3 linked regions of the Drosophila melanogaster genome follow. The protein of the gene in region 3 purifies or fractionates together with the protein of the main gene of each other region. This does not show direct contact. Each region holds a gene or a part of one and is shown on either strand. Other genes may lie near its edges.

What was found.
Region 1: the proteins of Cdc45 (region 3) and Psf2 purify together in Drosophila melanogaster (affinity purification with western blotting; 2 studies listed by BioGRID, with this or other methods). This does not show direct contact.
Region 2: the proteins of Cdc45 (region 3) and Mcm6 purify together in Drosophila melanogaster (affinity purification with western blotting; 3 studies listed by BioGRID, with this or other methods). This does not show direct contact.

The regions. Positions count from the first base shown.
Region 1 is NT_033779.5:4,385,682-4,388,985, forward strand, and holds Psf2 (partner of Sld five 2), read right to left. Parts: upstream 1,676-3,304; 5' UTR 1,639-1,675; intron 1,390-1,638; exon of another isoform or gene 1,333-1,389; 5' UTR 1,328-1,332; coding exon 1,083-1,327; intron 1,025-1,082; coding exon 658-1,024; 3' UTR 501-657; downstream 1-500. Other genes in the region: Vps53 (vacuolar protein sorting 53), read right to left, coding at 1-141, 202-297; Tps1 (Trehalose-6-phosphate synthase 1), read left to right, coding at 3,044-3,177. UniProt on the Drosophila melanogaster protein: The GINS complex plays an essential role in the initiation of DNA replication.
Region 2 is NC_004354.4:6,672,610-6,684,588, forward strand, and holds Mcm6 (minichromosome maintenance 6), read left to right. Parts: upstream 1-1,777; 5' UTR 1,778-1,896; coding exon 1,897-4,350; 3' UTR 4,351-4,567; downstream 4,568-11,979. Other genes in the region: CG3198 (uncharacterized protein), read right to left, coding at 11-954, 1,028-1,129; ND-ASHI (NADH dehydrogenase (ubiquinone) ASHI subunit), read right to left, coding at 4,754-4,966, 5,043-5,272, 5,391-5,475; Fum1 (fumarase 1), read left to right, coding at 5,921-6,007, 7,217-7,348, 7,689-7,889, 7,959-8,763, 8,828-9,090; Fum2 (fumarase 2), read left to right, coding at 9,227-9,304, 9,361-9,525, 9,610-9,813, 9,897-10,701, 10,762-11,021; Pink1 (PTEN-induced putative kinase 1), read left to right, coding at 11,948-11,979. UniProt on the Drosophila melanogaster protein: Acts as a component of the Mcm2-7 complex (Mcm complex) which is the putative replicative helicase essential for 'once per cell cycle' DNA replication initiation and elongation in eukaryotic cells.
Region 3 is NC_004354.4:1,024,566-1,035,917, forward strand, and holds Cdc45 (cell division cycle 45), read right to left. Parts: upstream 5,992-11,352; 5' UTR 5,763-5,991; coding exon 4,852-5,762; intron 4,800-4,851; coding exon 3,983-4,799; 3' UTR 3,726-3,982; downstream 1-3,725. Other genes in the region: CG3021 (uncharacterized protein), read left to right, coding at 2,328-2,981, 3,070-3,585; Rpp21 (ribonuclease P/MRP subunit p21), read left to right, coding at 6,278-6,444, 6,504-6,888; CG14630 (uncharacterized protein), read left to right, coding at 6,959-7,545, 7,858-8,491.

The sequences.
Region 1 (3,304 bases), on a different chromosome or scaffold from region 3:
ATCAATCAGGGACACCTCGCACTGCATCTTTTGGATGGTCTCATCAATACCGGCCAGCGATTGCTCGTTGGGGAAGAGCTGGTTGATGTAGTCCACAGTGTTGAAGTCCGGCGCATCCATCGGATCGTCCGTTTTGAGAACCTTTTATGGACATTCGAATTGGGTTGGTAATTGCTACCAACATATGTTCCACTGACTCACCTTGTCGATGACCTGCTTCACCTCCTTGGAGAAATGGATTTTGTTGTTAGCAACCATCCTTTCTTCCGGCTCCACCGCTACCGCAGACTCGCTCATCTCGCTTTATCCTTATTTATTTGTATAAAAAAGTTATTGTTATTCTCTTCGTGGAAAACCAGGGATACAGTGCAATTATATGATAGCAGCTGCTGTTAAATTGCTGTCGTGCTGTAAGGCGCAGTCCTGTTAGATAAGCGCATATCGATAAAGAAATTTATCGGAATTTGAAATGCCTTATCAAAAACTTCTAATTCTAATTACTTTTTTTAATTTTCTGAAAGCATTTATATTTAATTTTAAGCATACAAATATTTTTGAACTTTTGAGAGGTTTAATGACTACAGGCTACATAAGCTCCTGCTAATAACTAAATCTATTATCTTAAATGTTCCCAACAATGTTGTTTGACTGGAATAATCACTGAGAAAACAGAGAGTTACTGTTCGGACCCGAACTGGAGCCTGCCATGGATGCACTTAGCATGGAGGTGTCCCTTTGAGACGCAGTGGCCGTGCGCTGGTACCGTGCTATGTGGTCCAGGGAATAGGGCAGAATGGGTCTCACGCTGTGGATCTCCAGAAGCGTGAGGTTGTCTAGCTTTGCATATGTGCCCTCTCCCTTGATAAAGGCGTCGATCGAAGTGCGCAGCTTGGACTCGCGTATGTCGAAGATGTCCTTGATCACAGTGCGCAGCTCCTCGCAACGCGGAACGTCATCCGGAGCCGTGCTCATGACCAACTGGGCCACTACCATGTAATGCTCACAGGGCATTTTGGTAAAGAACCTATGGGCAGGCGGAGAATAAGATTTGCTTTCCACGGGCATACCCACATCATACATACTTTGAGCGCTTTTCCTCCTCCTTGATTTCCTCCAATATATCCATGTCCATCCATTCTGGAGGTACAATTCGGCACTTTTGTTGCTTGCGCAGATGCGTGGCCATCCACAGGGGCACGAAGACGGGAAAACCGGCTCGGAAAGGGCCCACAGGTCCGTATATCAGGTGCAGAGGCTCGTTGCTGAAGTTCGGTATTATGCTGATCATGCATTTTTCGCCAATAAATTCAATAATTGAAGGATCCATAATTGCTATAAACAAACAAAACAAATGCGGGAACATACGGTCACTCGAGCGGCCAGTGATGACACCTGTCCGCTATCGATCTCAATGCTATCGACCCAGTGATCTCTGCAGTCTGGCAGCCCAGCTCTGCTATTGACCGTTAATAACGGTGTTGTTTTCCCAACAATCTGCTTGCATCACGAATCTTTCGCCTGCGGGCTCTGCGTCAATTTAATCACGTCAAACTATAGACTTCTGCGACATAATAGCCACAGTTCGCCACTATAAATATGCCAACCGTAATTCGGCGACCTTCGGCCGGGTTATCTCACCATCATTACCACTATCGCCGGCCGGATCGGATCGCATCGCATTGCTGCACCGCTACAACCGATGGAGCTGACTAATTTGTTCTCCCGGTGCGAATGTGTTATTGCAGATTCCGGCTAAGGCGACGACAACTATCAAGAATCACGTAAAACGCCAGCCGGGCATCGTGATAAGCGCATGAATGCCAAACATGATCAAGCGTTCAAGTTCAGCCAAGTTTTCCGTTCTATAATATATAAGCTGCCCGGGCGTAATCCCTTGCACCACTTCGCCGTAAAATCCGAGACTAAAATGCACTAGATAGCCTTATCGGTCTTGTATCTTTCCGGGCAAATAAAACTATACGCCCGGTAATGAACTCCAGAAATGGCGGTCATTACAAGGTTAGATCTGCACTAGCTGGAATCCCAAACTGAACAGATTTCAACTGCAATCTGCAGACAACTTCGATAGAGAAACGAAAATAGAAATACAAATCTTCTGTGTACAATTCGGATGTTCTTTATAAGGCTGAGCCCGAAGCGTAAACAACAGCATCGATTTGTTGACTTATCGCATCGAGAGACAACATCGATGAGATGGAATGGGATGGGTGGTGGTTAGGGGGAGGAGGCGGAGGATGATGAGGTTGTGGCCGTCGTTGCCGTGAAATGTTCCCGAGCTGATAATACCAGGCACGGCCAGTTAATTCTAGAAAACTATCTGCGGTGTGTAAACTGCGGCACCGATAGTTCAGATCACATCCCCATGACATCTAACCCCTTCAAGGATCAATTGGGTGAACACTTGGCCACTAGGCCAGGACAGAAGCGGTAGGTATTCTCCTGCGCAGGTTTCGATTCTCTCACATCCGCTGGGAAAAATGTAATCAGCGCGAGAGGAGCAGATGCCGGACGATTTTCTGATAAGCCGGAGAGTGGACTGTGGAACCCATGATGGAATGGGTGGAGGGGGTTGGCTGGCTGGCATTAATTTTTAGCAGAAAAGTGCGACTTGATCGCCTAGTTGGCTTAGTGCTTGTCTATTTTCGGCAGGGTACGGAGCTGCTGGCTCTCGCGACCATCGAAACTAACGTAATCGACTCACCGCCAATCAGCCAGGAAAATTGCCTGCCATTTCCACGTAGAATTGCATCTGAGAGTAGCTTTGATAAGAAGGCAGTGATTGACTTGGCTTCGAGCAGTCTTCAGTCATCGATCAGCGCATCTCGAACCAAATTCGGCAACGGTCGCTCTCGCTTCGGAAGAACGGACTCGTTCATTGATAAGCCTGGATTTGAACTAGACGGTTGTCTAACCTCCACATCCGCGAATTTTCCCATACGCTGTTGTCAAAAATTATGTGCTAGACTTGACCGCAGGAGAAGATTCGTTTAACTCTTCTACAGCTAGCTTACCAAGGATCACGATGCCCGACACGGAAATCATCGTTACCAATGCCGGGGAGCCCTCCACCAAGGCGAGTCTCATCGTGGTATCCAATCGGTTGCCGTTTGTGCTTATCCGAGATCCGAAGACCGATGAGTTGGAACGCAGGGCCAGGTGGGTACATTAAAAAAAAAAGACTTATATAATCCAGTTTAACAAATACGTGTTCTAAATTAAACTTTTCAAACGACAACGTTTTAAAGGAAATTAAAAACAAGTGAAAAGAAAACAAAATCGATGT
Region 2 (11,979 bases), 5.6 Mb from region 3:
GAGACCTTACCGTCTGCTATCGTAGGAGTGGAAGCGCTGCACTCGACCCTCACGTCGACGTCGTTCCTCCTGCTCGCGCTCCTTCTGTCGCGCCTCGTTGATCTCGGCGACGGCGTTGCGCAGTTTGGAGTAGCCCAGATGCTGTTTACCCATCAAATGGTCCTCGATCCGCTGCTGTGCATCGCCGACTATCAGGAAAGCGCCACAGATTTCGCACACCTTCATTTGTTTCTCGGGCATGGCATCATGCGACCAGCCAGCCGCCTTGCTATCCGTCTTCTCTGACGTTTTGTCCTCGCTGGCTGCACCAGCTGCTTCACCGGCATCGTCAGTCGTTGTGACAGCTGCTTGTGCGGAACTTGGAGCTGCATCCGGCGCTTCATCTAGCGTGGTGGCGGCTGGAAGAGGAGTAGTTGGACTTTCTTCGCTGGGATTTGTGACCGGACTGCTGCGCGGGTGATGCTGCAGCTCGTCCTCCGCTGACTTGGTCAGGCTGATGCTGCTGATGGCCTTGTGATGGGCCTCGTATTGCTGTACCAACTGTTCCTTCTCCTCCTTGAGCTCCTCGCACACGGTCATTAGATCTTGGGCCTGGTCCACGTCACCCCGAATGCCGGCTTCCTCTGCCTCAGAGAGCAGCTTATTGATCCGGGCCGTCAGATTCGCAAGCTGCTCCTGGTGCCTGCTCAGTGGCGCCGGTACATTGGGCTGATCCCTTTGCATTAGCAGCAAACGCTGTTTTCCCTTCTGGATCTTTCGATCCACATCGTGCAGCATAACATTGCAAAAGCGCAGGAATTCATCCTCGTACTGACGCTTCCGCTGCGAGGGTCGAGCATCCTCGTAGAGATGTCGGGCTTCCTCGTCGTGGATGCGGGCACAGGGGCCCAGATCTGCGCGCGTATTTATGAATAGATCGTGCGGACAGAACTTAACGTTGTAGAACTGACAGAACTGCGGACAAAAAAAAAAACCCCCATTATTTTGGAGGTGGCTCTTTGGCGCGCCACATCCTGAGCGTACTCACCTCCGGATCCTCCCAATTGACCTTGGCGCCCGCCTCCGAGGGATGCAGGTTGCGATTCCTGCCCATCAGCTCGTCGAGCATCTGCCTGGCGGCGTCCACCATTTTCCGGGGCTCCTTCGCAATTTGTGGGGACAAAACTCCGAAGGGGGCGGTGGTCCCAGTGAATCAAATGAATCCAATGGTACCACACCGACTTCTATGGCCACAACGGTGCCGGCGAACAGGTGAACACACGTGCAACGCTGTGCTCCTGCTGTTTAGCCAAAAAATTAGCCAAAATAGAATCAATAAAATTATTTCACGAAATTCGCGTGGTATCGATTATTTCGGAATAAGCCTATCGGTGCACAGCGTTCCGCGACATGAGTGGGCGAACTATCGGTCTTAAAAACGTACTAAATTCTATAAGTTCATAAAATAAACAACTTAAGTTGAATGTTTTAATACTTTACTCGTATAAAATTATTCTTATAATTCATGTCATTCATCTCTTGGATTATTAAGTTATCCGATTAAGTTATTAAAACAACGTATCTCAATCAACTTTTGGACTATTTGATCTATTCAAAAAATTCGAAAACTACTTGTTGATTAGCAAGGGCAAGAAATTTAAGTAAGCTTTCAGCAATTAAAAAAATATATATTTTTATATATATTTGAACTAATAAATTAATGTGACCGTAAGACATGTTTACCTTTGCTCTTGAATAGCTGGCATCCCTGCGCACGAGCGTTGCCACCCCCAAGCAACTGTCAGAAAAAGGCGCCAAAACCGAGCAAAGCACGCAGCTGTAAACATTCGCAAGAAACGAAAGCAATCTCGGAATTTAGCGCGCAATTCACCAGTTTGAAGCAAGAAGTGACCCAAAATGGATGTGGCAGATGCTCAGGTTGGCCAGCTGCGCGTAAAAGACGAGGTGGGCATTCGGGCCCAGAAGTTGTTTCAGGATTTCCTCGAGGAATTCAAGGAGGATGGCGAGATCAAGTACACGCGCCCAGCCGCCAGCTTGGAATCCCCGGATCGCTGCACCCTGGAGGTCAGCTTCGAGGATGTGGAGAAATACGATCAGAATCTGGCCACCGCCATTATCGAGGAGTACTACCACATCTATCCGTTCCTTTGCCAATCCGTTTCGAACTACGTTAAGGACCGGATTGGACTGAAGACCCAGAAGGATTGCTATGTGGCCTTCACGGAGGTGCCGACGCGTCACAAGGTTCGCGATCTGACCACCTCCAAAATCGGCACCCTCATCCGCATCTCCGGCCAGGTGGTGCGCACCCATCCCGTACATCCGGAGCTTGTTTCCGGCGTCTTCATGTGCCTCGATTGCCAGACGGAAATTCGGAACGTAGAGCAGCAGTTCAAGTTCACCAATCCCACCATTTGCCGCAATCCCGTGTGCTCCAATCGCAAGCGTTTCATGCTGGATGTGGAGAAGAGTCTGTTCTTGGACTTTCAAAAGATTCGCATCCAGGAGACGCAAGCCGAGCTGCCGCGTGGCTGTATTCCCCGCGCGGTGGAGATTATCCTGCGCTCGGAGCTGGTGGAGACCGTTCAGGCTGGCGATCGCTATGATTTCACGGGCACTCTGATTGTGGTGCCCGATGTGAGTGTCCTGGCCGGAGTGGGCACACGGGCGGAGAACAGTTCACGCCACAAGCCCGGCGAGGGCATGGATGGCGTCACTGGCCTAAAGGCACTGGGCATGCGAGAGCTCAACTATCGGATGGCCTTCCTTGCCTGCAGTGTTCAGGCAACGACAGCACGTTTTGGCGGCACCGATCTGCCCATGTCGGAGGTGACAGCCGAGGATATGAAGAAGCAGATGACAGATGCCGAGTGGCACAAGATCTATGAGATGTCCAAGGATCGCAATCTCTACCAGAATCTAATTAGCAGCCTCTTTCCCTCGATCTACGGCAACGATGAGGTCAAGCGGGGCATTCTTCTGCAGCAATTCGGTGGCGTTGCGAAGACCACCACCGAAAAGACATCGCTTCGTGGCGACATCAATGTGTGCATCGTTGGCGATCCCAGCACGGCCAAGTCACAGTTCCTCAAGCAGGTATCCGACTTCTCGCCGCGTGCGATCTACACCTCGGGCAAGGCATCCTCGGCAGCGGGCTTAACCGCTGCGGTTGTGCGCGACGAGGAGTCCTTTGACTTTGTCATCGAGGCGGGCGCCCTCATGTTGGCCGACAATGGCATTTGCTGCATTGACGAGTTCGATAAGATGGATCAGCGCGATCAGGTGGCCATTCACGAGGCCATGGAACAGCAGACCATATCGATTGCACGCGCCGGCGTACGAGCCACACTCAATGCGCGCACTTCGATTCTGGCCGCCGCCAATCCCATTAATGGTCGCTACGATCGCTCCAAGAGTTTGCAACAAAATATTCAGCTATCGGCACCGATTATGTCGCGATTCGATCTGTTCTTCATTCTCGTGGACGAATGCAATGAGGTGGTGGACTATGCCATTGCTCGCAAGATCGTTGATCTGCACTCGAACATCGAGGAGTCCGTGGAGCGGGCATATACGCGCGAAGAGGTCCTTCGCTATGTGACATTTGCGCGGCAATTTAAGCCGGTTATTAGCCAGGAGGCCGGACACATGCTGGTCGAGAACTATGGCCATTTGAGGCAGCGCGATACGGGCACGTCGGGCAGGAGCACCTGGAGGATAACGGTGCGTCAGCTGGAGTCCATGATTCGACTGAGCGAGGCCATGGCCAAGCTGGAGTGCTCGAATCGCGTGCTGGAGCGACACGTCAAGGAGGCCTTCCGTTTGCTCAACAAGTCCATCATTCGCGTGGAGCAACCGGATATTCATTTAGATGACGACGAGGGTCTGGACATGGACGATGGCATTCAGCACGACATCGACATGGAGAACAATGGAGCAGCGGCCAATGTGGATGAGAACAATGGTATGGACACATCCGCCAGCGGCGCCGTGCAGAAGAAGAAGTTCACGCTTTCGTTCGAGGATTACAAGAATCTGTCCACCATGCTGGTGTTGCATATGCGCGCCGAGGAGGCGCGCTGCGAGGTGGAGGGCAACGATACGGGCATCAAGCGCAGCAATGTGGTCACCTGGTATCTGGAGCAGGTGGCGGACCAAATCGAATCCGAGGATGAGTTAATTTCTCGCAAAAATCTCATCGAGAAGCTTATCGATCGCCTCATCTATCACGATCAGGTCATTATTCCGCTCAAGACATCCACGCTGAAGCCGAGAATTCAGGTACAAAAGGATTTCGTGGAGGAGGACGATCCCCTGCTGGTGGTGCATCCCAACTACGTTGTGGAGTGATCCCAGCCGATCAACAGTTTATTACTATGCCCTAAATCTAGCTGGTTAAGTTTCTGTTTCCGCGTCTTGCTTTTTTTTGCTCACCCAAACAAACAATGTATTTAGGCAGTAAGTTTATAGTTTAGAGACATTATTGAAATCCATTAAGGATTTCTTGGTTCAGTTACGTTCCAAATCATTCATGTTTTCGCCGAAATAAACGTTCATCTCAAGATTCATTTCGTTTTTTGCTGCTCATTAAGAACGGAATGAAAAATGCAACCCAACATGCGCAGTCAAAATGATAGCAAATCCATGTTTTAGCTTGGTTTCCATTCATTTTAATTGTATAGATGCGTTGATTAATTGCCTATGAAATAAAAACGAGGCGCGCAGTGCGATCGAGAGCGTGATAGATACAATCCTACTTCTCGAAGGTGTAGTGCTTGACGCCAGGGCTGGGATATTGCTTGGCGGCCACGGGGCGGTACATCTTCTTGTCATCCAGCCAGTAGTAGAGTGCCAGGCAGCCGGACATCACGCCCAGGAAGCAGGCAAAGTAGTACGCATTGCTGTAGCGTGGCGGTTCGGCCTGCGACCAGCGATCCTCGCTGTACAGATCATGATCCGCCGAGATCTGCAATGGAAATGGATCAGGGTTTGACTCTTTTTTTATGCAGCAGCTGCTGCTAGCCGTTGATGTTGGCGCTTACGGGCTCGTGTTGGTTGCGCTTGTGCTCCGGATAGTCCCAGGGATAGTACGAGTCCTTGGCCTCCACACCCAGACCGTAGCCCAATTTGGGATAATCTCCGTAGCCCAGACCATCGTCCGCATACGGTTTGTACTCCTCCGGCAACAGATAGTACTTCTTGGCCGCCGCCAGGCGCTCCTTCTCCGTCTGTGGATACGGACCCGGCTTGTAGTCCTTATTCCAGCCAGCCACTAAAACGTAAATGGCGAGAAATTCGAATTTGTAGCCATTCGGTGCATGCAAAAGTTACGTAAACAAAACAGTGGGGCAGGTTGCACTGTTGCCAGCGCAGCCCCGATTCACACTTACTGCTGCGGATCGCCTGGCGAGCCACGACGGGATTGGCGGCGCACAGCTTTTGGGCCAAGCACACGGTTTTCACAAACGCCGACATTGCAGGCTTGTTTCCACTAAAAAAAAGTTCCTCTGAAGTTACGATTCCCGAAAAAACAGCTGTTCGCCTGCGGATGGCACACAAACGATAGGATACAGTGCCGCAACGGTCTGCTATCGATAGTTGTAGTTTCAAAAAAAACAAATAGAACTATCAACAGATTTTAAATTTGTTAGCTATGGAATAGGAATTTACAGTTAGTACTAAGGTAACTAGGTGTTTCTTAAAAATGTTTAGGATTTTTGTTTCTCAATTTTTATGAACTTAGGCAGCAATCGTTACAAAGTCGATAAGAACAATCGATGGTCCGATAGCTCTCACCCGCGCATCGAGGTGCTGTTGTTGTTTTTTGTTGTTGTTGGTGTTGTTGTGGTGGGCTCGTCCGTGAAAGATCACTTGCTTGCAAACTTATTTATTAATTACCGACTAAGGAATAAGCATAGAGATGGTGCTACCATTATTGCAACGCTCCACGCTTCGCGGCGTTCAACAAATGACGAAACCCTGGGCCGCCATTGGAAGTTTGCGTCTGGTAAGGATTCCAAGTGCTGTGCAAATTGGATATATATTTTGTAGCGAGATGGCAAAAATATTTTGCCTTATGTAATGCTAGATTCGCCCATGCAGCGGCTAATAACTCCAAAATATGTTATTTTTTTGATTGTAAACAAGGCGCGGCGAGCAGAAATGCCAATGAAAAGTGCACAAATGCCGGCGTTTCGTAATCATTACACAATGGAAAGCGGAGGCGAGCGACTTCCAGGCGCTGGAACGGACGTTCCAATTGGCACACCACTGCGACCACTTGTGGACGAAACTCCAATTGGCGCGCGACTCCAATTGGAAGCCGTCGCATTGATTTTTTCACTCAATTTTCGCAAACGTTTTTTATTTTCATTTCGCACTCAAAACTCAAATCACATGATTGAAAACAAAACAAACTCACGGCGTTGAAAAAAAAAGGGAAAAGAGAGAACCATAAACTCGCGAAACGAGTTGTAATTCAAGAAATTGTGCTAGTCAGCGAATTCTTGTTTTTTTTTTTCGGCAATTGAATTAAAACCGGTTAATTATATATGGTACTAGATGAATGAACGACCACTGTAATACACTACCGATTATTCAGATAATGCTGCATATAAAACATATGTATATAAGACACTAGATAGTAGAGCTACAGTCCGGCGTAAATTCCACCCATAAATCCCGAGGAACAGCGCTGGTCACATGAATAGCACTGGAAATGCAAAAGTTCGAATCAGTCTGTTTTTATAGAATTGCTATTGCAATTATTATGCATACAATATACATATATACACAAATATAGTTCGAGATCCTCGCACTACTTTCGTGCCCCCTGCTGTGTGCACCCCATGCCCAAGTTGGGTCTTTCATATTCAGCGCCCAGTGCTCGGGCATTCAACACCTCCCACCAATTCTGCGGGAAGTTCGCTCGTTGAGAGCGCTCTTTCAAGAATCTGTTCGTTGTACACTCGGCTTTTTGGTTTTGAATCCCCCTAGCTTATCGCCTCTGCCTTTCAATGCCCGAGCACGCCTCAGTTAACATCGAGCAGCAGCCGTCGTCGAGTGGTCGTCCTCTGATTTGTTCACTCTGATTGCCATAGTCTCAATTTGGCTTCACTTACTTACTATCTGTCATATCTGCATCTGAAATGGTCTGCCCCTGTGTTTACTTACTGATAATTATAGCCATTCTTATCGGATTCATTCGCATCGACAGGCCTCCCAGGAGTTTCGCGTGGAGAGCGACACCTTTGGCGAACTGAAGGTGCCCGCGGATAAGTACTATGGCGCCCAAACGATGCGATCCCAGATCAATTTCCCCATCGGCGGAGCCACCGAACGGATGCCCGTAAGTAGTGCCCCCCACTGCCTCCATCTACGTATACATATAATTCTCACGTAAATCTTTCGAAAGTATTTAAAAGTCAGCATTGAAGGTTCAAAAAGCAGCAAGGTCTAGCTAATTACTAAGTAAAATATGGCTTAAATTAAGCTTCTATTACAGAAAGCAGAACAAATGGTGAATGCTAGTTCAATGAGTTTGTTCATTGTAATTCAGAGTCTATAGAAAGTTAAAGTCTAAAAAATGTATTAACTACATTAACATAACACACAAGTATGTTGCGTAAAGTAAAAAATAAGAAGAAAACACATTGAAAGCAACTAAAACTCTCGTTAATCCCCGCCAGAAACCCGTGGTCCAGGCCATGGGCATCCTGAAGAAGGCCGCCGCCGAGGTGAACAAGGAGTTCGGACTGGACAGCAAGGTTAGCGAGGCGATCTCGAAGGCGGCCGACGATGTGATCTCTGGCAAGCTATACGACGACCACTTCCCGCTGGTCATCTGGCAGACGGGCTCGGGCACGCAGAGCAACATGAATGTGAATGAGGTGGGCATGAGCGGTCATTTGTTTCATTTGCACTATTCTCAAATCTCCTCTAACTCTCTAACTCTCAAGGTGATCAGCAATCGTGCCATTGAGCTGCTGGGCGGCAAACTGGGCTCCAAGACGCCCGTGCATCCCAACGATCATGTGAACAAATCGCAGAGCTCCAACGATACCTTCCCCACCGCCATTCACATCTCGGTGGCGCTGGAGCTGAACAACAACCTTAAGCCGGCGATTAAGACGCTGCACGATGCGCTGCGTGCCAAGTCGGAGGAGTTCAAGGACATTATCAAGATCGGACGCACGCATACGATGGATGCGGTGCCATTGACGCTGGGCCAAGAGTTCAGCGGCTATGCCCAGCAATTGGCCTACGCCCAGGAGCGCATCGATGCCTGTCTGCCGCGCGTCTATGAGCTGGCTCTGGGCGGCACTGCTGTGGGTACGGGTCTGAACACACGCAAGGGATTCGCCGAGAAGTGCGCTGCAAAGATCGCCGAGCTGACCAGCCTGCCCTTCGTTACCGCGCCCAACAAGTTCGAGGCACTGGCTGCCCGCGATGCCATGGTGGAGGTGCATGGTGTGCTCAACACGATCGCCGTTAGCCTGATGAAGATTGCCAACGATATTCGTTTCCTTGGCTCCGGACCGCGTTGCGGTTTGGGTGAGCTCTCGCTACCGGAGAACGAGCCAGGTAGCTCCATCATGCCCGGCAAGGTGAATCCCACGCAATGCGAGTCGCTGACAATGCTCTCCGCCCAGGTGATGGGCAATCAGGTGGCGGTGACCATCGGTGGATCCAATGGGCACTTCGAGCTGAATGTATTCAAGCCCCTGATCGTGTCCAATGTGCTGCGCTCCATTCGGCTATTGTGTAAGCTACCTATTACCCACCCTTGGTGGAACGCCAAATCAATCGAATCTATTCCTTTTTGTAGCTGATGGCAGCAGGACCTTCACTGCCAACTGTGTGAATGGCATCCAGGCGAACCGCGAGAATATTGCCAAGATCATGAACGAGTCGCTCATGCTGGTGACCGCTCTGAATCCGCACATTGGTTACGACAAGGCTGCGAAAATTGCAAAGACGGCGCACAAGAATGGCACCACACTCAAGGAGGAGGCCATCAATTTGGGTTACCTGACGGAGCAGCAGTTCAACGACTGGGTGCGACCCGAACAGATGCTGGGACCCAAGTGAAGTGGAGCCAAGTAGGCCGACGACGAAATCCATCATTCAATCATCGCTGTCATCGGAATCGCAGTGTGATTTTCTAGATCAGATCGTTTTGTTGTATATGAATCGCTCGGAAACACAGAACCAATAATAATTGAAAATGCTGAAGCAAAACAATGGTCTGCATCTGGCTAGGCGCAATCTCTGGGTGGTTTGCAGTGGCCTCCGTGCCAAGGATGTAAGTACGCGACAATGGTCGCTGGCAACTCATGGCTACATGGGGCATCTTTGCAGTGCGACAGTGGCGGTAAGGGCGGCAAGGGCAAGGAGAATGGCAAGTTTCGTACGGAGAAGGACACCTTCGGGGAGCTAAAGGTGCCGGCGGACAAGCTGTACGGCGCACAGACGATGCGCTCCAAATTGAATTTTCCCATTGGCGACATAGGCGAACGTATGCCGGTAGGCAACCAACCAACCAACCAACATATTCTGGCATCTACCAAGTGCTTTGCCATAGCCAATTAATCCCCAAACTGCCCGCAGATGCCGGTGATCCAGGCCATGGGCATACTGAAGAAGGCATGTGCCGAGGTCAACAAGGATTACGGACTAGATGGCAAGGTGTCGGATGCCGTATCCTGCGCCTGCGACGATGTCATTTCCGGCAAGCTATACAAACAGGGTCACTTCCCATTGGTCATCTGGCAAACCGGTTCGGGCACCCAGACCAATATGAACACCAACGAGGTAAGATTGTTAGATAGGGCTAACGAGAGAAATGTGTATAGCTGGATGCTTCTCCTGCCCCATGCCATTGGCAAACCTACTAGGTGATCAGCAATGCGGCCATTAAGATGATGGGCGGCGAACTGGGCAGCAAGAAGCCGGTGCATCCCAACGATCATGTGAACAAGTCGCAGAGCTCCAACGACACCTTCCCCACGGCCATTCACATTTCGGTGGGCATGGAGCTGAACGAGCGGCTTGTTCCGGCGGTTACACACTTGAGGGATGCCCTCAAGTCCAAGTCGGATGAGTTCAAGGACATCATCAAGATCGGACGCACCCACTTGATGGACGCAGTTCCGCTGACTTTGGGCCAGGAATTCAGCGGTTATACACAGCAGTTGACCAACGGTCTGGAAAGGATCAAGGGCTGTCTGCCGCGCGTCTATGAGCTGGCTCTGGGCGGCACTGCTGTGGGTACGGGTCTGAACACACGCAAGGGATTCGCCGAGAAGGTGGCCAAGCGCATTTCGGAGCTAACCTGCTTGCCCTTCGTGTCGGCGCCCAACAAGTTCGAGGCACTGGCTGCCCGCGATGCCATGGTGGAGGTGCATGGTGTGCTCAACACGATCGCCGTCAGCCTGATGAAGATCGCCAACGATATCCGATTGCTGGGATCGGGTCCGCGTTGCGGTCTGGGCGAACTAATGCTGCCGGAGAACGAGCCCGGTAGCTCCATCATGCCCGGCAAGGTGAATCCCACGCAATGCGAATCAATGACCATGCTGTGTGCCCAGGTGATGGGCAATCAGGTGGCGGTGACCATCGGCGGCTCCAACGGGCACTTCGAGCTAAATGTATTCAAACCCCTGGTCGTGTCCAATGTGCTGCGCTCCATTCGCTTGTTGGGTGAGTCGGAAATGTGTTTTCCAAGTGGAAAAACATGCATACATAACCTTCTCCTCCCAGCTGATGGCAGCATGACCTTCAGCAAGAACTGCGTGGAGGGACTGCAGGCCAACAAGGAGAGGATCGACAAGATCATGAACGAGTCCTTGATGCTGGTGACCGCGCTGAATCCGCACATTGGCTATGACAAGGCCGCCCTGATCGCCAAGACGGCGCACAAGAATAAGACGACCTTGAAGGAGGAGGCACTGAAGACCGGAATTACCGAAGAGCAGTTCAAGGAGTGGGTCAATCCCAAGGAGATGCTGGGACCGAAGTGATTCGCTGTGCGGCTATTGACGATTTTGTTTTAGTTTCGTGTAATAAATTTTTGTGTGTAGCAGGATATTTCAATAGATTGTATTAATTTGTTGATTTTACGGCAGGTGAATAACGGTTTTTAGTTTTTGAATTCTCCAAATGATTCGAGTCCACACTACGCGATAGTCATTATCGATTCTAAAGATATACCGTAAGTGTGGTCACACTAACGCCTTGCTGTTTCTAAATTATTCCGTTGTTTTTATCGTAAATTCTTGCACACTTAGCTATTATTTTATAGCGAAATATAAGCAAAGCAAGCTTTTAAACAAGTGTTTATTGCGGCGCACATTTTCCGTGACAAATGAAAAGATCCAGCTGACCAGCGATTATCTAACGACCAAATCGAATCGAAACGAAACGTTGAAGTAGGCGCATTACATTAAAAATTGGCTGCCAGGCAAGTTGGAGGTCGTAAATTAATCGTTTTGTTCAGTTGAAAATAGCCCAAAATCAGTCTAGCCCACACAGATATCGAAAAAGGCGATATATCTTTGGATAATCATTGCAAAAATAAACCCTTTCGATTCGACGATTTCGCCTTGTAGTTCTGCCACCACCGCCCCCACACTTCGCCCCGCAGCTGCACCACAACCACCACCACCCACAAACAGAAAATTTATTTGCGACGCAAAAACAAAACAATCGAATCGAAACGAACCGAACCGAAACGAAACGACAGCAGCTGTTTGGTTATAAATCGGCGCTATCGATCGCACACATGAGCAAAATTGGCGGAGAAGAAGAGGAAGCAGCAGCAAGAGTTAAGCACCACAAATCTTAAAGAATAGGTAAAAATTAAAAATTAAATTAATAGATGACAGACCGTTTAAGGTGCTTCATTCAGTTGCAGGCACTAGGAGCCGAGGTCTTTGCGGGCCGAAAGATGTCTGTGAGACTGCTGACCGTGCGACTGAT
Region 3 (11,352 bases):
AATTCATTAAATGAAAATTATATTTTATGATTCAAATTGCATTTCCAAGGCATCCTGCACTTGCGTGAGTGAGTGTGTGTGAAGCGTGGAGTGTGCGTACATATACGTGTATTGCCCTACACTGAAAAAAAAAACTGTTCCTAGCCATTTTGATCGATTCGGTTCCCCCACACGACAAATCTAACTAAACACACCCAATTCGCATGTCGAACGCATTGCAAGAACCGATTCTAGCCAGCAGACCACCCCTAAGAGCCCCTCCAGCTAAGAAGAACCGAGTAAGGGCAAGGATAGTCCCAAATCAAAGGAAGTCCGCGAAGAAAGTCCAGCGATCCGACCACCAGAAGGCAGCGGGACTCCAGCGCCTTCTTTGGGCTCCACTCCTCTCCACTGCAGCGGGAAGTAAGCCACAAACCGGACTGCAGCACCGACCGCCCAAACCGCGCAGGAACAGACCGCCGAGGGAGAGGCCTGATGCACTGGTTATCATCCCATCAGCTGGCTTACCGTACAGCGAAATGCTGTCGCTGGTCACAAGAGGCCAAGACGCCATGCTCAGGGTCATCTGAGAAAACGTAAAAAGGGTTAAGAGGACGGCCAAAGGTGAACTGCTCCCCGAACTACGTGCCTCTGCCCAAGACTTGACACAGAAGCTCAAGTGGACATGGGAGCGGTGCTTCGAGACCGCGCCAGCCTTCGCGCGGTAACACAATCAAAAGTATTTTTGATTCGCGACCTTGACGAGCTTACTACTGAAGACGAACTGAGGTGGGCCTGGAGTCCCAGACAGAGATCACAGCAGCAGTGTTGGCAATCAAGAGCCTCTGACAAACGCAGTATGGAGGGAAGACTGCTGAAATAGCAGTTCCAGCCAATCTGGCGGAACCGCTGATCACGCTGATCACTGACAGCGGATGCTAGAGGCCGGACCCAGGTTCAGGTGGTGGAGACTCAGCGAGGAATACACTGCCAGTGACCACTTGGCCATCATTTGCGACCTAGGATGCCCTTCCTCGACCCAAGCCCAGACAGCAGCCCTAGCCATGATGAAATACAAAAAAACATGCAAAGAACATCGACGGGCATTCGTCATCGCAGGTGCATAAAAGTTCATGCTTTTTGTCGAAATACTCTGCAGTATGCCGATTTGCCACGAAAGGAGAGACGGATAAATAACGGATGAGGGCGAAAACGTGCAATCAGAAGTGGCTCTTCTCTAACACACACACACACACACACATCTTCACTCGAAAAAAAATGGAGTTGCTGTTGTTTCCTATTTCGAATGTTTGTTATGGAAGGATAAATAACAGATGAGGGAGAAAAGAAAGCGTGACACACACACGCACCTTAAAAAAAAATGGAGTTCTTGTTGTTTCACAACTTATACACTTTACTTCACAACTGTTAGCGACTTATTATTATTAAGTGGGTTTGTAGGTGTACTGCGACCCAGTCGGCTCTATTGTACTACTACCCCTTCATGACTCAACGATCCCCCTGAAGTCCAATGCACTGTATAAATGCCAGAATTTTATTGTGGTTCAGGGGATTCTGTTTCTCTTGATGGCCAAGCGCCATCCATGCAGCAGAAGCGACAGAGTTCACTTCTGCAATGCCAATTTGTACAAATGGCTGTGAAGCCGGCAATGCCCCGTAAGAATGCCGAGTCAAAATGCGCACGGTGTCTAGTCCCGTGTGCGACTAGAATGCGAGCATAATTCTCAAAAACTGCATCATGCCCATTTGCGGAAAAAAACAGAAAAAAAGAGACGGATAGATAACGGATGAGGGGGAAAACGTGCACTCAGAAGTGACTCCTCCCACATACACAACACACACAGTGTTCACTCGAAAAAATGGAGTTTCGGTCGTAAAAATGGAGTTTCGCTCCTTTCCCATTTCTACAGTTTGGTGAGAAAATATTACGGTTAAATTACTGACCTACCTTAACTCGAAAAAATGGAATTCCTGTTGTTTCCCAGTTCGAATGTTTGTCGAGGAAAGATAACGGATAAAATTACGCACGCACCGTTACTCGAAAAAAATGGCGTTTTTGCTGTTTCCCCTTTCGACACGCGCAAATCCACAATGCGCGGAGCTTTGCTTCATGGCCCGACTGAATGAACTGAACTGACAGCGCATTAAACGCCGGTATTATTAGTGTGACCACCGATGCGATAGTTTATAATACCATGGTATACCCAAAATAAATACCAAAAACTAACGGAAAGCACATCAACTGTTTCTGCCGCATAAACAAAAACTGCTGTTCGTCTAACGTGAAACACATAACTTTGAAATTATTGCTTTGCCAACACCGCCCAATGATTCGCAACGTAGTGGTGGGCGTGTCGGGCGGCGTGGACAGCGCCGTTTCCGCCCACCTGCTGGCGGAGCAAGGATTCAAGGTGCTGGGTGTGTTTATGCGCAACTGGGATGAGGCGGACGAAGTGGGTCGCTGCAGTGGGGAGGCGGATCTGAAGGACGCCGAGTGGGCGTGCCGGCAGCTCGGCGTGGAGCTGCGTCAGGTGAACTATGTGCGCGAGTACTGGACGGCGGTGTTCAGCCAGTTTCTGGACGATTACCAAATGGGCTTGACACCAAATCCGGACATCCTGTGCAATCGCCACATTAAGTTTGACCTCTTTCACAAGCACGCCTTGGAAAATCTCGGCTACGATGCCGTGGCCACGGGTCACTACGCCCGGAATAGTCTGGGCAACTACCTGGAGGGGATTGCCTCCAACAACGACGCCCGCTTGCTAATACCCGCCGATACGTTCAAGGACCAGACATTCTTTTTGGCAGGTATTTCCCGAAAGGCTCTGCAACGCACGATGTTCCCTTTGGGAGACTTCCAGAAGAGCCAGGTCAAGGACTTGGCCAAGAAGATTGGCTTCCAGCGACTGGCCAAAAAGAAGGAAAGCACTGGCATTTGTTTCGTTGGCAAACGCAACTTCAAGGACTTCATACAGGAGGTAAAGCACTTGCCGCGATTGAAAAAGCACATGGCTCAATTTCCTTGATTTCACCACGGACTCAAATCTGGTTTCCCTCCACTTTCAGTACATCACTTCCAAACGTGGTCCCTTCCTAGACATCGACAGTGGAGCCGTTGTCGGCCACCACGAGGGCATCCATCAATGGACTGTGGGCCAGCGGTGCCGTCTGAGCTCATTCCTTCAGCCCTATTTTGTGGCCAGGAAAGAGGCCGCAAGCAATACCATCTATGTGGCATCTGGCCACAACCATCCCGCCCTTCTCAGCACCCACATAGCCGTCGATCCGCCCAACTGGCTGTGTTCCAAGTCCCAACAGATTCTTTCGGACACTGGCAGCTTGAGGTGTCGCTTTCGATTCCAGCACACCAAACCATTGGTGGACTGTCAGCTGAGCATCTCTCCCAGTAACACTTTTCTTGTCGAGTTGGACGCTCCTTTAAGAGCTATTACACCAGGACAATATGCCGTATTCTATGACGACACAGCTTGTTTGGGTTCGGCCCGCATCCTCAGCGCTAATCCCCTAAAGAAAAAAAACGCACAGACGCAGCAAGCTCAAGCCGCAAATCTGGTTAGCTAATGATGTTTCCTCTGAGCCAGAAAATAAACCAAATGTAAGAAGGCAGTCCAACTGCCAACACGGCATGTATAGATAGCATGGTAAATACGTTTTCATAAATTTAAGCGCCGAGTAAATTTTAGACGTGAATCGACACTTTTAATTCCATGGTAAACACTTTAATTTAAATTTATTATTCTAGGTCAAATTTACAATTAGTTTTTGAAAAAGGACATTTTGCATTTTGTGGTCCTGGGAGCAATGATAAAGTTATTAACACACAATCGTACATAAATAGGGTTTGGTAAAATCTTAAACTAAGTGTACACGTGAGGTCTCGCGATATAAAACTAGCTTAGCACATAATATGATTGAGCAGGGATGTGTCGGTAGCAGGTAGAATAGAAAGCGGCGTGGATTAGGCTAACAGCACCGTGAGGGAGTCCAGAAAGCGTGTGAGGTCGCTCTGCCGCAGCTGCACCACCGCTGGCTCGAAAAAGTCCTGCAATAGAGCGACTCCACTCTTTTGCGCCGCCTGCTCGAAGGCCTTGCCAAAGAAGTTTCGCGGAGAGTCTTCCCTTACCGGGACAATGCCTACCAGCAAGCACATGCCCTCCGAAGCGTTCAGGGGACAACTTGCGATCAACGGCAAGTCCGAAGCCTGCCTGGCTCTACTCGTGGCCACATGTCCGCGCAAAAGAAAGCGAGCCAACAGTCCAAGGGCATAGGGGTATGAGAAGAACGCGTGTTCCTCCTGCAGAACGTAGTAGAAAAAGGAGCCCGCTGAATGAACTTGGCGTGCCTCCAAGCTGCTCTGCACCTGCCGAAAGACAGCAGCATGCAAAAGCTTCGCCTGGTCGATGCCTGCAGACAGCAGCTGCTTGTGCTGACGACTCAAAGCATCCGAGGCCTCCAGAAAGCAATCCTCCGGAGTCTTGTGCTTCTTCACGGACTCCATGATGGCGAGCAGGGCATAAACGTAGTCCGCCGCAGCATATCTGCTGCGGTAGCCGTAGCTCAGCGTAAAGGTGCCGTAAACTATGTCCGCTATGTCGTACTTCTCCGCCAGGCGCTCCACCATCGAGAAGAACTCCTTGCGCAACACCAAATCCATGGCTCCGTACGTTTGGCGGGCGTGCACCAAGGGAAGTCCCATCTCGAGCAGCAGCTCGTGTAATCTCTTCTCTCCGCGCAGTGTCCACAGCTTCAGCTGGCATGAGGAGTAGCGGGAATACCTACGATTATACTACATGATTAAATGGCATAGAATACACTGTCAATGCTCACCTCATGGATTCCGTGACGGGCCAGTGGCGGTACAAGACCAGATGCAAATCATTCTCGAAGGTTATCTTGGAGGCACTCATCGTGTTCTGATCATTCGTTTTGTTCGTCAGTCGGGACACATGCGACTGGATTTGCTCCAGCTCCAAAGTATACGCTCCACTCTCGATCTTGCCCAGCAGCAGCTGCTCCGTGATGCCCACAATGGCCCACCAGAGCAGGTCCATGTTGTCTTTTGAGAGCTTCCAGGCCAACTCAAAAACCATCAAAGCGGCGGACCTGCCGTAGTAGCTGAACTGCGTGTACTCGAACATAATCCTGTCGCGCTCAGACTCCCACTGTCGGCGGGCTCGCTGCTTCAGGATGCGTTGCTCGTGCCGCTCCAGGCGACTGAGCTTACGGCTCCTTGGCGCCTGATCCTCCTGGTCCGATTCCCCGGCACCACTGTCGTCGTGCTGCTGTTCCGTGTCAGAGGACTCGTCCTCATCCTCGTCTTCACCTTCAGAGTCATAGAAAATTGTCTCGAACGCTGGAATATTCTCCTCCAAGGAGGCATCCCCCAAGATGCACACCTGCCGATCGCTGTAGATGTTACACACATCCAACGGGCGATGTGAATCGCATATGAAGAAGGTCACGTCGTCCGACGGCTGCAGGAGCTCCACAATATCTACACAGCCGCCGCAGTTCACCAACACCACGTACTTAACGTCGCCCTGGTGCTCTCCATAGGCCCGCTTCAGACCCGTAACGCCCATTATGGGCACCACGGTGTACAGCATGTGATCGTACTTGAACAAGGCCTGCAGGATGCGACTGGCGCAGATGGCATCGATGTCGTAGTTGACCACGATCAAGATGCGCTTGCCAACCAGCTGGCGGTAAAAGTCGTTGCGCAGATCCTGGACAAACATGGTGAACACTTCTGGCGGGAATCCCAATCGTCTGCCTAATCTGTCTACGTCTAGACACAACGGTCTCTTTCCAATCGCTTACGATGCAAAGTAGAATTCTACATGAGTGCAGTGCGTTGCATTTTGAGGGTTTCCCTGCGGCTTGCGCTATTTTCCAGCTTCCCACTGCCGCTCCACTTTTGCTTTTCTGGCAATCGCAATTGGCGAATCAAAAACGCGGGAAACAGCTGGCTTAGCCAGTGTGACCAGTGTGAAATAATGGAATGGCGCGGAAATACAATCGTTGCTGGGAAAAGAATATTCTGCGAATTTCCAGAAATTTTGAGCTGCCAAAAACCGAAATTATAATCACATAATGTTGAATTTTGAGAGCTCTTTGCAGTTGCTGCTATTGCAGTAGGAGCAATATCTTGGCGCTCCAGATACGGTCACACCGCGACGCCCATGTGTTTTGAATTGCCACAAAAACGAAAGTCTACCAGTCGACCAGCTTTGTGCGACAAAAGCCTCAGAATATGAGCAGGGACAACAAGATGAAGCACCTGACCCAGCGGGCCATCTCCTCACGCATGAACTACCTGTTCCAGGCCTCGAATTTAATGGCAGTAGGCAATCAACCAAAATTGGCCGCCTATTATGGCAAACTCTGCCGCAATGTGGGCACCAAGGCTATCATGCACATGTAAGTGGCTTCTCCAGTGGAGTATGGGCAAATAATTCATGGCGTCAACTGGTTTCAAGGGCCCCGGCCGTGAAGCGTTCCCTGTGCAGGCGCTGTTTCCTTCCCCTGATTCCCGGAGTGAATACGGAGCTGCATGTGGAGGAAGGAGCACAGGAGGCCAAGACTGATGCACAAGCTCAATCGAACGGAGCAGTCAAAACGAAGAAAAAGCGCCATCGCAGGCAGCGCAAGAAGCCCAGAAGCCGGAAAACAGGGAACACCAACCAGGAGGAATCCGAGGAGCAAATCCAAGAAAGTACTGAACAGGTCTCTTTTTTCTTAGAGTGCTCACTCTGCTGCGGCCGGCGAAGCTTTGCGGCGAACAGTCAAAGAGACTGCTGGTTGGAGCAGCCGCAATCCATAGTGCAAGTGGTCTCGCTCCCCAAAGAGAAAGACGAGCGATAAGCTGAAGCTTTGCTTATCAGCCAGCCTGCCTGTTGTGCCATCACCTGATTGCTCGGCAGTTGAGCCTGGAATGCTTAGCTGTAGGCAACTTATTTCTCGGCTGAGCCTTCTTCGGCAGGCGAGCACATTTGCTTGTGTGCGACTATGCCCCGACTATGTAGAAGTCCAGGAGGAGCAGGGCAATCTCCTGAAGTACCCCCAAGTTTGGCTTAGGGACAACTGTCAGTGTGCCGAGTGCTTCCACGCCGCCACAAGAGCAAGAAAAAGTCACTGGGATCGTGGCCCGCTGAATATACCAGTGTCCCAAGTGGCCTACAACAAGGAGAGGAAACAGTTGGAGATCATCTGGCAGGACAAGCACAGGAGCACCTTCGATCTAGGCTGGCTGAGGGAAAGGGACTTTGGAGAGACTGGCAGAAAGCATTACTTGGAGGAGGTCTACAAGCCACCCGCTCAACTCTGGGGAAAAACGGAGTTCGAGGATGTGAAAAGAGAATTCCAATACGAGGATGTGCTGGAGCAAGATGCAGCCCTGAGAGTTTGGCTTGAGGCACTGGCAGTCCAAGGATTCGCCATTCTGAAAGGGGCACCCAACGACATAAATGTGGCTAAGAAATTGGCCGAACGAATTGGCTACATAAAACGCACCACCTACGGGTAAATATTAACCAATAGATGACATACTTCATCGTACAGTACCAGGGTCATAAAACTCACATTTGCCGAGAGCTGTATTATCTATCAGTCCACTAAATATTATCACTATCGGTTGATTGTTACAGCCAGAATCAGGCAAATATTTTCAACCAGGTGTCCATTTGTACTCATGATAAAGATTTGATTACCACTTACTCACGCTAGATACTACTACAGAATATGCTAGCCACATTTCATAAATTAAAAGGGAAAACACCTTAGTTGCATTACTCAAGTTCAGCTATAAATTATCTACTATCCCGCCTCCCCTAGCGACGTTTTCGAGGTTAAATCCAAACCAAATGCGCGCAACTACGCCTATCTAATGACTCCCCTGCCGCTTCATACCGACATGCCCTACTACGAGTACAAGGCGGGCATCAACATCCTGCACACCCTCGTCCAGTCGGAGTCAAAGGGTGGAGCAAATACGCTGACAGATGGCTTCAACGTGGCCTCGCAGTTGCAAAAACTGCATCCGGAGGACTTCGAGGTGCTCAAGTCGGTGCCCGTTAACTGGTTTGACATCGGACACGACGGCGATGACTCCAAGCCCTTCCACAGTCTCTGGAGAGCGCCAGTAATTTGTTTGGATGTGGATGGCCGGTTCGCGAGGATCAACCAGAACACCACTAAGCGGGACAGCCGGTTCTCCGTTTCCCTGGCGCAGGCCGTGTCCTGGTACAAAGCCTACGATAAGTTCCTTGAGATCGCCCAGTCCGAGGCGGTGGAGTTCAAGACCCAAGCCGGCGATGTGTTCGTCTTCAACAACCTGCGAATGTTGCACGGAAGAACGGCTTACGAGGATGCGCCGGGCAACAAGCGTCATTTGGTGGGCGCCTACGTCGACTGGGACATTATTTACTCCAAGCTGCGAACCCTGAAGTTCCCAAATGCCAAGGATTGACTGAGGGAATGTTGTGAGATTTAGTTGAAATGTAACTGTGAATTAAATGGTTTTTTTTTACACATGGCACAGCGAATAAATTTTGGGAGGTGTATAAATATTGTGTCTCAACTTGCAAATGAATTTCACTTGAAACGTGTTTGAATCCTACGATGAACGGCGCCGATACTATCGATACAAGCCCAGTGGTCGAGCACTTCTCGATACTGCCGTGGTTGAGTAACTCCGCTCTGGCATCGCGATAACATCGATATAACTGCCACCTCTAGCATAATATATGTACTACATTTATACAAATATAAATATAATGGAAATATGAGAATTTAACCAAACACCGCCCGAAATATGAGTGTAGTATGTGCCTATGCAATATTAAGAACAATTAAATAAAATAGCATATTAACTTATGGCAGCACTTTGTTGCTATGTTTATGTTTATGTTTATGCACGCAGTTAGGCCAGGGCGGATGTAACATGATCACCCACTCGAAGGCCACAAAGTATAAGTGCATTGCCCACTCGAAGGCAAAAAGTATAAGTGCATGGTCAGCATTCACACGCCGACCAAATACATATTACATACGTACATACATATCTCGCTCTCCCGATAAGCCTAGATATATAAGATATACATAAGAACGCCGCTCCGCTGCTGGCGTACCCGGCAGCGCAGCTACGCGGATTAGCCTAAGTCCAAATATATTAAAAAACTGTAAAATCAGGGAGAGACTCGGTAGACGTTGAGCTGACAGAACCATTTCTGCCTACTCTAAAATCAAAAGAAGAAATTGAATAAATATATGTCAGCCCGACGGCTGCCTTCAACTTAAAACGGACTTGTGTTCTTAATTGGAGTTCATCATTACATGGCGACCGTGACAGTCGTCCAACGCTGGACGAATTGACCAAAGCTGGTGAAAACAAAGGAACAAAGGAACACTGGACTGGAAGAAGACTGGACTAATTAAATGGAACTGCAAAAACCAAGGAAAAATCTGAGTGAGTAGAGTTCTATTGAGTATGGGCAAACACCGTGGCGGTTTGAAAACTAAGCTGAATAAACGTATAGCCCACGTAAGGTGGCTAATATACGGTCAGCAAACGCCACCGGTTTGGTCGAAAGCTCTAAAGCTACATGCAGAGCTAGACCACTTGTTGCAATATCAGCAAGAATTAAAGACCCATAAGCTCGAGAAAACTCACTCAGATAATATTAAAAATATACCCACAATTAATGAAGTTCCAAAATACCAGGCATGTCCAGCACCAGCACCAGCATTAACAAAACCAAAGAAGTCCTGCCCCCCCTGGCTGCGAAGGAATCTGGAGTCCCCACTGCCTGGGGACTTGTGAGCGACCATCGACGTCTTCAGCGGCGAAGAAATAGACAGCAGCGAGGGAGTGTCAGCGTGCCACCCCCGGCGACGCCCAGCTGACACCCAACAAATAGACAGCAGCGAGGGAGTGTCAGCGTGCCACCCCCGGCGACGCCCAGCTGACACCTGATGAGCATCATCAACAGCAGAATATAATAATAAATATATATAAATATAAAGTAAATATAAAATATATATAGATAAGAAAAATTGTAAGAAATATTGTAAAACGGAGCATATACTATTATGCCCTGTTAACCCAATATGGCCCGTGAAGCCATAGCTAGAATCAGGCAGGCAACAATGTAAAATACAATTTTTTTTTACTCTTGCGAACATTGAAAGATTTTATAAATAGATAATTCCAAACATAAATGTCTATAGAGACAAATGAAATAAGTAAAACTGAAAATAAAAGTATATACAAAGGAAATTTTCTATTCTATTCTCCAAAATATAAAATTAGTATACCCAAAATGGGTCTAATAGACACTAAAACTGTGGACTCTACAGCCAATGTAATAAATAAAGTAGAAGTCCAAAATGCAGACTTGTTCTGGATAACCATAATACTAATTGTAATTGCATTAATTATGGTATCCAATGCATTAATAAAAATATACAAACTGCATAACAAGTGTCTTAAGAAACGATACCGTAGCACTGCTAACGGTATAGATAATATTTAAGGAAGATCTTTAATAAAGTCAATTATGAATGAAAATATGAGAAAAATTATATGAAAAAAAAAAAAATAATAAATAAAAAAAAATATAAAACGTAATATTGAATTTATCTACATTAAAAAAAAAATATATACAAATGAATAAATTTGAAGTTATGAGTATACCACAGCATGGACTGGGAAAAGCTTGTTGATCAGATAAAAGATCAAAATGAAAATTTCAGAAAATCCTATAAGTGCTTAACGCAAAACAGATCAACACAAGCTGTAACAATCAATAGGAATGCCCAAGTCTTGGTAAATAGTTATAATGAAATCAGAGAGTTGATCCAACAAAATAGAAAGAATTTGGAACGCAAACAGTGTGCTAAGGCTTTGAACCTACTGGTGACATTAAGAGAAAAATTAATATTTATAAAAAATAAATTCAGTCTCCAGATAGAAATTCCAACCATAGTAAACACCCCACTAAGAATAAATTTGAATGAAGACAGCACTAACTCTGACGAGGAAGATAGGACTATAGTCAAGGAAGACATTAAAGAGGAAGATCTTCACGATCTAACTATACCAGCAAAATTAATGCTGAAGAACGACGATAAAACAAATAACGCAGCCGACTCCGAAAATAACTTAACCATGGCAGAAGAAGCAGCTGCCATTAGGTCTTACATTAGGGAAGTCGCCTGCACAGTGCCAGAATTTGATGGGCAAAAGATCCATTTACAAAGATTCATTAAGGCAATCAAATTGGTAGACCTAGCTAAGGGACCATTTGAAGACATTGCAGTTGAGGTCAT